Pelodiscus sinensis: one gene and its partner. The protein of the gene in region 1 purifies or fractionates together with the protein of each later gene. This does not show direct contact. Links are inferred from orthologs where the notes say so. Each region holds a gene or a part of one and is shown in the gene's direction. Other genes may lie near its edges.

What was found. The genes of interacting proteins can lie anywhere in the genome.
Region 2: the proteins of PEX19 (region 1) and NAT14 purify together in Homo sapiens (co-immunoprecipitation; 3 studies listed by BioGRID and IntAct, counting the BioPlex papers as one, with this or other methods). This does not show direct contact. The link is inferred for Pelodiscus sinensis from reciprocal best matches to the Homo sapiens genes PEX19 and NAT14.

Annotation. Positions count from the first base shown.
Region 1 is NC_134734.1:14,636,701-14,644,368, reverse strand, and holds the start of PEX19 (peroxisomal biogenesis factor 19), read left to right. Parts: upstream 1-4,667; 5' UTR 4,668-4,771; coding exon 4,772-4,838; intron 4,839-7,668. UniProt on the Homo sapiens protein: Necessary for early peroxisomal biogenesis. Acts both as a cytosolic chaperone and as an import receptor for peroxisomal membrane proteins (PMPs).
Region 2 is NC_134743.1:2,721,479-2,728,516, forward strand, and holds the start of NAT14 (putative N-acetyltransferase 14), read left to right. Parts: upstream 1-4,033; 5' UTR 4,034-4,066; intron 4,067-6,129; exon of another isoform or gene 6,130-6,149; intron 6,150-6,664; 5' UTR 6,665-6,688; coding exon 6,689-6,769; intron 6,770-7,038. Other genes in the region: ZNF628 (zinc finger protein 628), read left to right, coding at 1-288. UniProt on the Homo sapiens protein: Probable acetyltransferase. May act as a transcription factor that regulates the expression of coproporphyrinogen oxidase by binding to a promoter regulatory element.

The DNA of each region.
Region 1 (7,668 bases):
ACATGGCAGAAAGGCATTGCAGGCACTTGATGGTATATATTGCATTAGTGGATGTGCAGTTGTATGAGCCTCTGATATTGTGGCTTATGTGGTTTAGGTCCGGTGATGATGCCGCTTGTATAGATGCGTGGACAGAGTTGGCAATGGAGTTTATGGCAGGGGTAGGTACCTGGGTGAGTATGTTTGAGGGGTGATGCATAGTTGCTGGAAAGGATTTGCTTCAGGTTAGGGCAGGGTTTCCCAACCTATGGGTTGTGACCCAAATATGGGTCGCCGTTACATTTCAAAAGAGTCTCCAAGTGTCTCCCCAGGTGGCTCTGCCCCTCATCCTACCCGTTTTTTAATTGACTTGGGTCAATTCTTCCTGAATTGTCAAAGTGGATCCCCATCTAGAAAAGGTTGTGAACCGCTGCATTAGGGGGTTGTCTGTAGGCAAGGATTGGCCTGTCTCCAAAGGCCTGTGACAGTGAGGGATCATTTTCCAGGATAGGTTGTAAATTCTTAATGATGTGTTGGAGAGGTTTACATTGGGGGCTGTAGGTGATGATCAGTGGTGTTCTGTTATTTTGCTTGTTGGGCCTATCTTGAAGAAACAGATGCCTGGGTACTCATCTGGCTCTATCAGGTTGTTTTTTCACTTACCCAGGTGAGTATTTAAGTTTTAAGAATGCCTGATAGAGATCCTGTAGGTGTTTGTCTCTGTCTGTCAGATAGGAGCAAATCCGGTTGTATCTTAAAGCCTGTCTGTAAACGATTGTGTAACGTGTCCTGGATGGAAGCTAGAGGTATGTAGCTAAGAATAATGGTCATTAGGTTTCTGATGTAGGGTGGTGGAAATGTGGCCATTGTACTGTAGTGTCAAGGAAATGGATCTCTTGTGTGAACTGGTCCGGGCTAAGGTTGATAGTGGTATGGAAGTTGTTGAAATCCCTGTGGAATTCTTCAAGGGTTTCGTCCTGTGGTTCCATATAACAAAGATGTCGTCAACTTGAAGATATAAATGGTCCCAAATTGGAAATAGTTGTGGGTGAGGACAAAGTCACAGTGCACAGTAACCAGGTGTGCAGTAGCATCATCAGGGATAGTGTTCCTGACAGCTAGTAATAATCATCATGTGGAAAGTTGGAGTAAAGAGCTTCTATATCCATGGTGGCCAGGATGGTGTTTTCAGGAAGATTACTGATGTTCTGTAGTTTCCTTAGCAAGTCAGTGATGTCTTGAAGGTAGCTAGGAGTGCTGATAGCATAGAGTCTGAGGAGAGAGTCAACATAACCAGATAATTCTGCTGTAAGTGTGCTGAAGCCTGAGATGATAGGACATCCGGGATTTCCAGGTTTATGGATCTTGGGTAGCAGATAGAAAACTCCTGGTTAGAGATTTAGCAAGGGGTTTGTATAGATTTCATCCCAAGTTTCATGAGCAGATGGTGTAGGGTTTTTCTGAGTATTCTTCAGTGGGATCAGAGGAAAGAGGCCTGTAGAATGTGGTGTTGATGAGTTTTCTTGCAGCCTCCTGTTTGTAATCTGTCCTGTTCTTGATGACTATAGCACCCCCTTTGTCAGCCTCTTTGATTATAACCTTAGAATTGTTTTTGAAGCTGTGTATAGTGTTGTGTTCTGCATGGTGGAGGTTATATGTCACATATTGTTGTTTGTTCATGTCAACCTGTGCATGTACATGAAAGAGTAATTAACACTTCCTTATTTACTTTCTCCACACCAGTCATGATTTTATAGACTTCTACCATATCTCCCCTTAGACTGTGCCTACACTGTGTATTTTACAACAGCATGGCTGTGACACTGCAGCTGTGCCATTGTGAAAACCGCAGTGTAGCTGCTCTTTGTTCCTGGGAGAGAGCTCTCCAGGCAACAAAATACACTCTCCCCCAAATGAGGGGTCGTGGCTTTGTCGGTGGGAGAGCATTTCCTTGCCAATGAAGTGCTGTCCACTCTGGCGCATTTAATCGTTCAAACTTTTGTTGTGCAGGGGGTGTTTTTCAGCAAAAGTGCAGTGTAGACATGGCATGGACCTTTGGAGTTGGAAAAGACAGCTAAGGGCCGTGGGCTCTTTCCTGGTCACAGAGGGCTGCACTGTGTGCTTTACAACAACGTGGTTGCAGTAGCTCAGCTGTACAATTTTCAGGTGTGCAGTGTAAACGTAACCAAGTCTCGTTAATCTCCATCCCCCTCATCATTTCTGTTGCCCTTTTCTGTACCTTTTTTAACATGAGGCAACCTGAAGTACAGAAGTTGATTTTAAAAACAGGTTACATACCGGTTAGTAGTTCAATTTCACATTTGAGTTACTTCCGAACTCTTGGGTGATACCATCTGGTGCTGGTGACTTATTAATGTTTATCAGTTTGTTCCAAAACTTCCTCTAATGACACCTCAATCTCAGACTATTCCTTAGATTTGACATCTAAAAAGAATGGCTCAGGTTTGGGAATGTCCATCGTATTCTCAGCAGTGGAAAAATTAAATGATTTCTTAATTTAATTTCTCCACTATGCTTTACCCACCTTGAGTGACCCCATTGATTGTTTAGCAGGCTTCCTACTTCTGATTTTTTTTTTAATGTTAAACTTTCTGAGTCTTTGGCTAACTGTTCTTCATATTCTTTTTTATCTTTCCTAGTTATATTTTTACACTTCACTTGCCAGAGTTTATATTCTTTTCTGTTTTTCTCAGTAGAATTTAATTTCTACTTTGACTTTATTGCTTAGCCACAGTAGCACTTTACTATATTTTTTAAATTGGGTTATGTATTGAATTTAAGCCTCTATAATGGGGTCTTTAAAAAAAGCTTCCATGCAGCTTGCAAGGATTTGAGTTTCACACTAGCTTTTCTTTGCTGTATAACTTCTCATGAAAACTCAAATATCAAGCAGGAACACAACAAGGGTGGGAGGGCAGGCAGAACAGCACCCCCTGACTAGAACTGGCTGGCATAATGGTAGGGCACCCTCTTTAGCAAAATTCTAGTTGCCCCCTTGATGGTGGGGGAGGCTGTGTGACTGATCCAAGCAAGAGGGGAAGGAAAGGGTGTGGGATGCCAGGTCTGGTGGGGGTGTCAATCTCTAAGGGGTGGGTGATAGTCCCTATGGTGCCAACCCTGGCAAGGGCAGGCTGCCAAACTTGGTGGAGGCAGGTGGCTAATGCCAGGCCCTAATGGAGATGAGTGAAGGTGCCAACACCCAACAGGGGTGCCAGGCCCCGGAGGCAGGAACAGGTGATGGGTACCAGGCTCTAAGGAGGGTGGGTGGCAGGCAAGAGGAAGCCAGGGCCTGTGCAGCAGGGAGAGGGGGACAGGTAGCTGTCTGGCCCTAGGATGGAGGCTGCCAGTCCCTAGGGAGGCAGAAAGGAGGGAGCCAGACAAGGGGTGCCAGGCTCTAAAATGGTAAGGTAGGTCCGGAAGTGCCAGCCCCTGGTAGAGGCGGGTAAGCGGTGCCAGGCTCTAAGGGGTAAGGCAGCTCCTAGGGGGAGTGGGAGGACCCAGGTAAGGGATGCCAGATTCTAAGGGGGGGGGTGGCAGGTAACGGTGCCAGGCTCGAAGGGGTAAGGCAGGTCCTGGAAGGGGGGGGAGAGACAGGTAAAGGTGCCAGGCTCGAAGGGGTAAGGCAGGTCCTGGAAGGGGAGCGGGGGAGAGAGAGACAGGTAAAGGTGCCAGGCTCGAAGGGGTAAGGCAGGTCCTGGAAGGGGGGCAGGAGAGACAGGTAAAGGTGCCAGGCTCGAAGCGGTAAGACAGGTCCTGGAAGGGGAGCAGGGCAGACAGGTAAAGGTGCCAGGCTCAAAGGGGTAAGGCAGGTCCTGGAAGGGGGGCGGGGCAGACAGGTAAAGGTGCCAGGCTCAAAGGGGTAAGGCAGGTCCTGGAAGAGGGGCGGGGGAGACAGGTAAAGGTGCCAGACTCGAAGGGGTAAGGCAGGTCCTGGAAGGGGAGCAGGGCAGACAGGTAAAGGTGCCAGGCTCGGAGGGGTAAGGCAGGTCCTGGAAGGGGAGCAGGGCAGACAGGTAAAGGTGCCAGGCTCGGAGGGGTAAGGCAGGTCCTGGAAGGGGAGCAGGGCAGACAGGTAAAGGTGCCAGGCTCGGAGGGGTAAGGCAGGTCCTGGAAGGGGAGCAGGGCAGACAGGTAAAGGTGCCAGGCTCGGAGGGGTAAGGCAGGTCCTGGAAGGGGGGCGGGGCAGACAGGTAAAGGTGCCAGGCTCGGAGGGGTAAGGCAGGTCCTGGAAGGGGAGCAGGGCAGACAGGTAAAGGTGCCAGGCTCGAAGGGGTAAGGCAGGTCCTGGAAGGGGAGCAGGGCAGACAGGTAAAGGTGCCAGGCTCGGAGGGGTAAGACAGGTCCTGGAAGGGGAGCAGGGCAGACAGGTAAAGGTGCCAGGCTCGGAGGGGTAAGGCAGGTCCTGGAAGGGGAGCAGGGCAGACAGGTAAAGGTGCCAGGCACGGAGGGGTAAGGCAGGTCCTGGAAGGGGAGCAGGGCAGACAGGTAAAGGTGCCAGGCTCGGAGGGGTAAGGCAGGTCCTGGAAGGGGAGCAGGGCAGACAGGTAAAGGTGCCAGGCTCGGAGGGGTAAGGGGCCCTGGTGGGGGGGCCAGGCCCTGGGGGAGGCGCGTACCGGGCCGGCAGGGGAGGTGCCGGGCCGCGCAACGCCCAGCGGGGGGAGGAGGGACGCTCCCTCCCCTAAGCTGGCGGCGGCGGCCGGGCCTGCCCCCAGGAGGCTCCGGGCCGGCCAGCTCCGCCCCGCGCAGGACCGGACGGGAGGCGGCAGCGAAGATGGCGGCGGCGGCGGCGGGGGCCGGGCAGGCGGGCCCGGACCGGGAGCTGGACGAGCTGCTGGAGAGTAAGGGGCTGGGGAGCGGCCCCGGGGCTCTCTGGCGGGGGAAGGGGAGGATCCTAGCCCGGGGGGGGGGGCTGGAGGGGCGAAGGGCTCGGGATGTAAGATCAGATGGGGGGTCAGGCCTGGTGTGGGGCTGATCGGTGGGGGGGGCTTCCATCACGTGGGGACCCCTGTGGCAGGACAGGACTGTATCTAGCAGGGCCTCGGTCTTGAGACACCCCGTCACTTGTATTCTCGGCCAGCAGGGCCCCAGGGGCTCCACCCCTCTGGCAGCGTTTGAGGGAGCTGCTGGTAGAGGTGCGGCTGGGGTGGCTCTCCTGTCAGGCCCTTGATTGCCCTGCAGGTTACTGGGGGGCTGGGATTTCAGGGGTGCTGCGGGCTGCGCCCTGCCTCCCTCCAGGGGGCTCTGAGTGACCAGCAGCTGAGAGGGCCCATCTACTAAAACATTCAAAGTTGAGATCCAAGTGCTTGAGACCCAGTGAATGTGGGGTGGAGACCTGCCAAACTGTGGTAAATAAACATAATCTTGGACATAACGTGGGCTGTATGATGATGGTGTGAATGGGGGCCTCTAAAAGTTGCTGGGTTAGGAAGCATTATTATTTCTGAGTGCTATCGGAGCGTGGCATTCATCTGAAATAGGCGTTCTCAGCCGACTAGGACGCTCTGTTCACAACAGCTGGTCTTTGACCCTCTTGGCTTGAGGCTGCCAGGTTGACCTTGGTCCATATTTGAGTTTGGGGGACTTAAAGGGAGATTCATTGGGTGTCGGGTGACTCTCTTGTCAGTTATCCAGGGCCCAGTGCAAGGGTGGCAGGTGCTGGTCAGAGGGCTATGTCCTCTGGAAGAGAGGTGAAAGTTACCAGCCATGTGTGTTTGTTTTGGGCTGCCTGGCCACTAACTCTGTTGGGGATGAATTGCTGCTTAGGTGATCACCCTGCACAAATTTCCCTGCAGCTTTATTTAGATACAACATACTTTGTCCCTCATTTGTCCTACATTTACTTACATGGCTGTTAAACAGCCACCATGCTTCACCCCGGCATTTCAGTGGATGAACTGATTTCTGTTGTAGGCATGGGTGCGGGTGGCTTGCTTTATATTGCCCTAGGGCCCAGAGACTAACCAACCTGAGCTCCGTTGTGCTAGATGCTGTATATAAAACATGGCAGACTCCACCCCACAAAGCTTATAACCTAAAAGCCAAGGCATAAAGCAGGGAACCTTTTTTGGGGAACCTTTTTTGGGTCGGGGACCACTGACCCCCAGAAAAATCAGTCAGAGGCCCCGCACAAGTGAAAAGCAAAGTCAGAAACCCCTCACTGAGAAGGAGAAAGACATTCTCCACATTCCCCATGCACACCAGAGCCTAAAGGGGCCCAGGCTAGTAGATTTTGTGTGCTCCAGCCCTGTTAGGAGTAGGCTCAGCACCTACTATGTCCCAATGCTGAGCATCGGGGGCCAGAACTAGGCAAGCTGGGGGCCGGATCTAGGCAAGGGCCCACAGGCCTGAGGTTCCCCACCCCTGGCATAAAGCGTGGATGAAACAAACAATTTGTGGTGGGGAAAGAAGGTAACAAATAATAAGATGTGGGTAATTTTTAGCCAGGAGCAGAATCTGTGAATCCTTAAAGGGACACTGTCACACTAAGGAAAAGTACTACAAAGTTTTCTCAACTATGTCATAACATCTCAGATCACTAACACTGAATGAATGCTAAGAATGTTGAGCCCAGTTTTGCACAGCCTTAGTGTTTTGTGGCTTTATGCATAGCCATTCTTCCACTGAGTAAGAAGTCAGTGGTGCAGCTAAACTTGCTTTCAGGGGTGGTGCCAATCTCCTAATTCTTTGTGCTCCTTGTTGGTAAAGGTTGGACTTCCCTGGTCCAGCACCCTCAGAACTGGACTGGTCCTGCATGAGGGAATTTGCAAGACTTGGGGAGGTTCCCTGCCACTGCCCCCCAACCCACTGCTGGCTCAGGTTACGGCCCCGGCCGGTCACCCTACCACTGGCCCTGGGCAGGCTGCCTGCCGGGCTGCCGCAGCCCCATAACCCCTGCCGGGCTGCCGCAGCCCCATAACCCCTGCCGGGCTGCCGCAGCCCCATAACCCCTGCCGGGCTGCCGCAACCCCATAACCCCTGCCGGGCTGCCGCAGCCCCATAACCCCTGCCGGGCTGCCGCAGCCCCAGCCCTCCTGCCGGATTGCTACGATGTGGCGATACTGGCTCCTCTACTGGGCTGCTGTGTTGCTACACCGTAGCTCCTCAGGTAGGCTGCTGCTGCCTCAACCTTGGCTCCTCTGCCAGGCTATTGGGTTGCCACAGTCCCCCCTCACTTGCCAGGCTGCTGCCAGCCCCACTGGGCTCCCAGGGCTCCCAGCTGCTAGCTGTCCTGCTGCCCAGCTCCCAGCCACTGGGGCTCTCTGGCCCTGGGATCATCCTTGGCCCTCAAGGGATACCATCCGGCTTGTTTGAATATTGATGCAATCTAGCCAAGTGCTCTTCTGGTTCACAGCGAGTTTTTGACCAGTTTTCTTTGAGATTTTTCTGGTGCCAGCCTTGTGCTGCACAGCTTGGTTCTCATAGAAATAATTTTAATTGAATTTTAAACATTTCATTAGCTCTTTATATTAATTTTGAAACAATCTTTCAGGCCATCGAAACCTGCAGCTAAATTTAACCCGATTGAGTCCCTTTAACTGTCCCTCACCTAGGTGTCTTGTGTCAGTTCATCAACGTGAGCCCTGGAGGGAGGGGGAACTTGCCCCACAAAGCTGGATCTTCAGGGATCACGGCTATGCCGCCATGCTGCGTGTGCATAAAATAAAGTAC
Region 2 (7,038 bases), on another chromosome or scaffold:
AACCTGCAGGAACTGCCCCCAGACAATGGAGTAGGAGCCCTGGCACCGGCAACAGGGCAGAAGCTCTTCATCATCCGCAGTGCGCCTGGTGAGCAGACTCTGCAAGTGCTGGAAAACATGGGCTCTGGCAGTGGCACAGCGCATGGGGTGTCAGCTGGCGGGCAGCCCTCTGCCACCAGTACCCAGATGGTGCAGCTGCTGCCAAACCCAGTACCACCCCCCCAGGAACTGCCCTCTATCCAGATTGTGCAGACAGTGCCCAGTGTGCAGCTGGTTCACACCTTCTGAGCCCCTGGCTACAGACACCAGCCGGGGTGTGTGCAGTGGGTTGGCATTGCAGGATCTGCTAGAGCTCTTGTTCCCCGATTGTCTTGCCTGTGCAATATGAAAATAGTGGGATATCCCCACATGATGACCAGTGGGGGCCGCAAGCTGTGAGACTTGTGCAGGTAGCCTGGTTCTGCATCATCCTAGCTATCCTGGCTGCAGACTCCTGGGTTCTATCCTCAACTCTGGGAGGAGACTTGGTTCTAGGGGTTAGAGTGGATGGGTGGGCTGGGAGTCAGGACCCCTGGGTTCCATCCCTGACACTATGGGGTCTAGTGGTTAAAGTGTATGCAGGTTTGGGAGCTAGGTCTCTTGGGTTCTGCTGGGTGAGCCTGAGCAAGTCCCTCCCTGATTGGAGCATTTTCCCTTCTGTGGGCTGAGCATAGCATTCCGGGAGGCTAAATGCATGAATAAGAGGTAGGAGCTCTGCAGTCAACCCGTGGGTGGAGCAGTTGGTGCTTGCCTCTTCACAAGTGGTTCCTATAGGAGAGGGGTTCCCATGGCACTGGCAGACAGAAGACTGGCATGAGAGCAGTTGCCACCTTCTGTATCTTTGTCCTGGTAACCAGGTAATACCTACTCCCCAAAGCCCTGGCCTATTCCTCCAACGCCCAGATGGCCTCCTGTGTAGGCAGAGCACCCCTGTCTCTTCTAGAGCCCCTTCTGTATTAGGGCACTTGGCACAACCCTTCAACCTACAAGGCAAATAAAAGACTGATTTGAAAGTGCCTCTGTTTGGTTTGTTCAGTGCATGAAGGGTGTAGGAGAAAGAAAGAGCCTGAAGAGCTGGGTGCTTGAACCAAAGTAAGCAAAAGTTTTATTATGAGTAACAGACAGTCCATGTCAGAAGCAGATGTTTGCTCGCAAATCAGTGTCTCTCCGCCCTAGAACTGCTAGCACTGATAAAAGCACATGAAGTATGTAAATACATGCCACCAGGACAATACAGGGACACCCACCTGAGTACACAATAAAATAGTTTGAAACAACAGGAGTGAAAGCAGAACGGGTAATGAATGCTTTGGAGGAAAGTATAAGAAGAGGTACCAAACACGTCATTAATGCGTAAGATGATATGTATGGCGTGGATCATAAATTGTTCATTTCTGACTATAAATGTGGGGGTACCTCACTTAATTCTTTAGCTGGCCTGGGGGAAATAGTGAAATCCATACTATTGATTGGCTGTGTCCATTGTCCTGGGTACAAATATGTAGGGGGCTCAGAGGCCATCTGGCTACCAACAATTATTAATGTACTTCGTTCAACAATAAACCTGACTCAGGTGCCTTTGTATCTTATCTAAGTGTGTGGTCTTTGGGGGCTCTCGTAAAGTCTATTATGCTAGCTACCAGCACAGAGCAGGCATAATATACTGAGGGAGCATATGAAAATGCATGGAGCTGAACATTTATCACTAACGGGTCAGGAGACCTGTCAGAATGCCACACCAGTAAATCCTGGATTTGCTGTATCACTATCCTGTCTTACTACAGACGGGGATGTGGCCTCACGCCTACACCCATCTTGTGGTGGCTGAACACCACAAAGGGCTGCATGGGAACTGGGCCTAATTGGTAGATAGTGCCCTCCTGCTGCCACCACAGCTGCAGCTCCTGCACTAAGCCTGGCTGAGGCTGGTGGGTGCCTGCAGGTTCAACTTGGCAGCTGTGTGTGCATGAGACACACTAGCATCTGCTCAGATATGGTGCTGGGTTCCTGCGCTAGAGCTGCTGGGTGGGAGGAGGTATGCAGGGCCCCGCCAAACCTGAGTGTTCATCAGATAGCCTTTATGCTGGGGGCTGCAGGGCCTTGCCTCAGCAAAGCAACTATCTGTGGGTGCTGAGCCCAGTGTTCAAGGATGACACTAGCAGGCCTGTGCTGCAGAGAGAGGGGTGTGGCTCAGCAAGGGATTTTTTTACCTCCCCTGCATACCCTGCACTGTGTTGGATGTGGCCTGCCCATCAGGTCACTGGGTCCAGCTTAGCCTGGCCCCTTGCTCACTGGTCTAGCTCAGCTTGCTCACTGGGTCTGGTTCAGCTTGCCCCCTCAATCCGTCAGCTGGCTTGGCTCACACATTGGTCTGGCTTATATTACTTATTCATTGCTGGAACTGGCTGGGCCTACTGGGTCCAGACTCACCATCTCGCTCGTTGGTCAGCAGGTCCCTTAGGGTCCAGCTCAGCTTGCCCCCTTACTCAATGGGTAGCAGGTCTGGCTCGACCTGATCCCTGGGTCCAGCCCGGCCCCTCTCTCGGCGCTCACCGGGTGCGTCTTGGCACTCACCAAGTCTGGCTCAGCCCCTCACTCAGCAGTCCTTGGGTCTGGCTCGGCCCCTCTCTCGGCGGTCCCTGGGTCTAGCTCAGCACTCACTGGGTCTGGCTCGGCCCCTCTCTCGGGGGTCCCCGGGTCTGGCTCGGCCCCTCTCTCGGGGGTCCCCGGGTCTGGCTCGGCCCCTCTCTCGGGGGTCCCCGGGTCCGGCTCGGCCCCTCTCTCAGGGGTCCCCGGGTCTCGCTCGGCCCCTCTCTCGGGGGTCCCCGGGTCCCGCTCGGCCCCTCTCTCGGGGGTCCCTGGGTCTCGCTCGGCCCCTCTCTCGGGGGTCCCCGGGTCCGGCTCGGCCCCTCTCTCGGGGGTCCCTGGGTCTCGCTCGGCCCCTCTCTCGGGGGTCCCTGGGTCTCGCTTGGCCCCTCGGGGGTCCCTGGGTCTCGCTTGGCCCCTCTCTCGGGGGTCCGGCTCGGCCCCTCTCTCGGGGGTCCCCGGGTCCGGCTCGGCCCCTCTCTCGGGGGTCCCCGGGTCCGGCTCGGCCCCTCTCTCGGGGGTCCCTGGGTCTCGCTCGGCCCCTCTCTCGGGGGTTCCCGGTTCCGGCCCCTCTCTCGGGGGTCCCCGGGTCTGGCTCGGCCCCTCTCTCGGGGGTCCCTGGGTCTCGCTTGGCCCCTCTCTCGGGGGTTCCCGGTTCCGGCCCCTCTCTCGGGGGTCCCCGGGTCTGGCTCGGCCCCTCTCTCGGGGGTCCCCGGGTCCGGCCCCTCTCTCGGGGGTCCCCGGGTCCGGCTCGGCCCCTCTCTCGGGGGTCCCCGGGTCCGGCTCGGCCCCTCTCTCGGGGGTCCCCGGGTCTGGCTCGGCCCCTCTCTCGGGGGTCCCCGGGTCCGGCCCCTCTCTCGGGGGTCCCCGGGTCCGGCCCCTCTCTCGGGGGTTCCCGGGTCCGGCCCCTCTCTCGGGGGTCCCCGGGTCCGGCTCGGCCCCTCGCTCCGCGGTCCCTGGGTCTGGCTCGGCTCCCCTCCCTGTTATCACTGGTCCCAGCTCAGCCTGGCCTGCGCCCCCGCAGGGTGCCCGGGCTGGCCCGTGTGACGATGCAGTTGCGGGGGGGGGGTATTCCTGGGGGTTTTACACAACACCCTCGCTAATTCCAGGCCGCTCCCAGGGCAGGGCTGCAGGGAGCAGATGGGGCCTCCCAGCCTCTCCTCAGCGCAGGCCTGGCCAGCGCAAGATCAGCTGTAGGAGCCCATGGGGCGGTGCCTGCTGGGAGAGCCCCCGTGCCCGCACGCGCCCCACTGCCCTCGCGCCCCCGCACTGCGAGGCAGGCGCTATGCGGGCCCGCTAGGCCGCAGTTGTGCCCTTAACAACGGTTACTAAGTAAAACCTGGGCGGGCGGAGGAAAGTGGGGGGGAGGAGGGGAAAAGCTGCGGCGCATGCGTACTGGGCAGAAGGAGCGAGGCTATCGCCGGCTGCGCGCTGGGCTAGGGTGAGAGGCTGGGCTAGCTTGGAGCGGGTCCATTGCGCACCGGGAGGGGGTGGCGTGGGTTGTGGGAGGTGCCACAGGGTGTTTAGGGCTCAGGGCGTTCCACCGCCTGTGCTGCGGGGGTTGCATTCTCTGGGGAGGAGGATTGTACCATTCTGTTCTTGAAGGGAGGGGATGATTACGGGGGGAGAGGCGGGCAGTCCCATTCCCTTTAATGGGGGAAGGGTCAGAGGTTGCAGGGGGCGGGCAGTCCCGTTCCCTTTAATGGGGGAAGGGTCAGTGGTTGCAGGGGGCTGGCAGTCCCATTCCCTTTAATGGGGGAAGGGTCAGAGGTTGCAGGGGGCGGGCAGTCCCATTCCCTTTAATGGGGGAAGGGTCAGAGGTTGCAGGGGGCGGGCAGTCCCATTCCCTTTAATGGGGGAAGGGTCAGAGGTTGCAGGGGGCGGGCAGTCCCATTCCCTTTAATGGGGGAAGGGTCAGTGGTTGCAGGGGGCGGGCAGTCCCATTCCCTTTAATGGGGGAAGGGACAGAGGTTGCAGGGGGGCGGGCAGTCCCATTCCCTTTAATGGGGGAAGGGTCAGTGGTTGCAGGGGGCGGGCAGTCCCATTCCCTTTAATGGGGGAAGGGTCAGTGGTTGCAGGGGGGCGGGCAGTCCCATTCCCTTTAATGGGGGAAGGGTCAGTGGTTGCAGGGGGGCGGGCAGTCCCATTCCCTTTAATGGGGGAAGGGTCAGTGGTTGCAGGGGGCGGGCAGTCCCATTCCCTTTAATGGGGGAAGGGACAGAGGTTGCAGGGGGGCGGGCAGTCCCATTCCCTTTAATGGGGGAAGGGTCAGTGGTTGCAGGGGGGCGGGCAGTCCCATTCCCTTTAATGGGGGAAGGGACAGAGGTTGCAGGGGGCGGGCAGTCCCATTCCCTTCAATGGGGGAAGGGTCAATGGTTGCAGGGGGCGGGCAGTCCCATTCCCTTTAATGGGGGAAGGGACAGAGGTTGCAGGGGGGCGGGCAGTCCCATTCCCTTTAATGGGGGAAGGGTCAGTGGTTGCAGGGGGGCGGGCAGTCCCATTCCCTTTAATGGGGGAAGGGTCAGTGGTTGCAGGGGGCGGGCAGTCCCGTTCCCTTTAATGGGGGAAGGGTCAGTGGTTGCAGGGGGCGGGCAGTCCCATTCCCTTTAATGGGGGAAGGGTCAGTGGTTGCAGGGGGGCGGGCAGTCCCATTCCCTTTAATGGGGGAAGGGACAGAGGTTGCAGGGGGCGGGCAGTCCCATTCCCTTCAATGGGGGAAGGGTCAATGGTTGCAGGGGGCGGGCAGTCCCATTCCCTTTAATGGGGGAAGGGACAGAGGTTGCAGGGGGGCGGGCAGTCCCATTCCCTTTAATGGGGGAAGGGTCAGTGGTTGCAGGGGGGCGGGCAGTCCCATTCCCTTTAATGGGGGAAGGGTCAGTGGTTGCAGGGGGCGGGCAGTCCCGTTCCCTTTAATGGGGGAAGGGTCAGTGGTTGCAGGGGGCGGGCAGTCCCATTCCCTTTAATGGGGGAAGGGTCAGTGGTTGCAGGGGGGCGGGCAGTCCCATTCCCTTTAATGGGGGAAGGGTCAGTGGTTGCAGGGGGCGGGCAGTCCCGTTCCCTTTAATGGGGGAAGGGTCAGTGGTTGCAGGGGGCGGGCAGTCCCGTTCCCTTTAATGGGGGAAGGGTCAGTGGTTGCAGGGGGCGGGCAGTCCCGTTCCCTTTAATGGGGGAAGGGTCAGAGGTTGCAGGGGGCGGGCAGTCCCATTCCCTTTAATGGGGGAAGGGTCAGAGGTTGCAGGGGGCGGGCAGTCCCATTCCCTTTAATGGGGGAAGGGTCAGAGGTTGCAGGGGGCGGGCAGTCCCGTTCCCTTTAATGGGGGAAGGGTCAGTGGTTGCAGGGGGCGGGCAGTCCCGTTCCCTTTAATGGGGGAAGGGTCAGTGGTTGCAGGGGGCGGGCAGTCCCATTCCCTTTAATGGGGGAAGGGTCAGAGGTTGCAGGGGGCGGGCAGTCCCATTCCCTTTAATGGGGGAAGGGTCAGTGGTTGCAGGGGGCGGGCAGTCCCATTCCCTTTAATGGGGGAAGGGTCAGTGGTTGCAGGGGGCGGGCAGTCCCATTCCCTCTCATGGGCGGAGGGGTGGATCTCTGTGAAGGGGTTCATCCATTTCTTGGATGGGGGTGAAGGGAGGAGGCTGCCCCAAGGCAAAGTGTTGAGACTGTTTCTTCCCCACCTTGTCTCTGTGGCCCCACCCCCCTCGCCAGCTTGGTCATGGGCCCTTTCCTCCTCTAGGGGATGCTGGCTCCAATCTGGCCGTAGGGCAGGGGCTGGCTGGCCCAGGGGGCGGGGATTGGGGCTTGCCCTCTCTGGGGGGCACTGGCTGTGCTGCTGCCTGAGAACACCACGTGGGTCCAGCCCCTGGACCTGCCCAGCTGCTCTCTGGGCTGCCGTGGCTGAGTGACTCTAGTCTAGTGATGGGGGGCACCGGGCTGGGCGCAGAGCTGGAGCAGGCAGTGCTGGGGGAATGAGCTGCTCGGAGCCTCACCAGACCTGTGAGGGGGAGGAAAAGCCCTCGGCATTCAGCCTTGTTTCCTGCCTTGCAGGTCATCTTGCTCCCACCAGGCGCCATGCCCACGGTGGATCCTAGCCAGCTCGCCATCCGCGAGATGCAGGAAGATGAGGAGCAGATGGTCCTGGAGCTGCTAAAGGTCTGGGGAGAGGGCATTGCCTGTCTGTCCAGCCCTGGAGATGTCTGTCTGTCCGTCCATCCAAGCTCTAACCCCCTGCCTGCCTTTAGCCCTGTGGGGATCTCAAAGCTAAAGAATGATCCTGCATGATTCCCTACCCCTACCGAGATATGCAAGTCAGTATGAATCCCCTTGTTTGTGGAGGACGCTGAGGCACAGAGATCCCAAGCGAGCAGCGCTTGAAGTCCCAGAGGGTCGAGGAAGAGCTGAGATTAGCACTGACCTGGTTT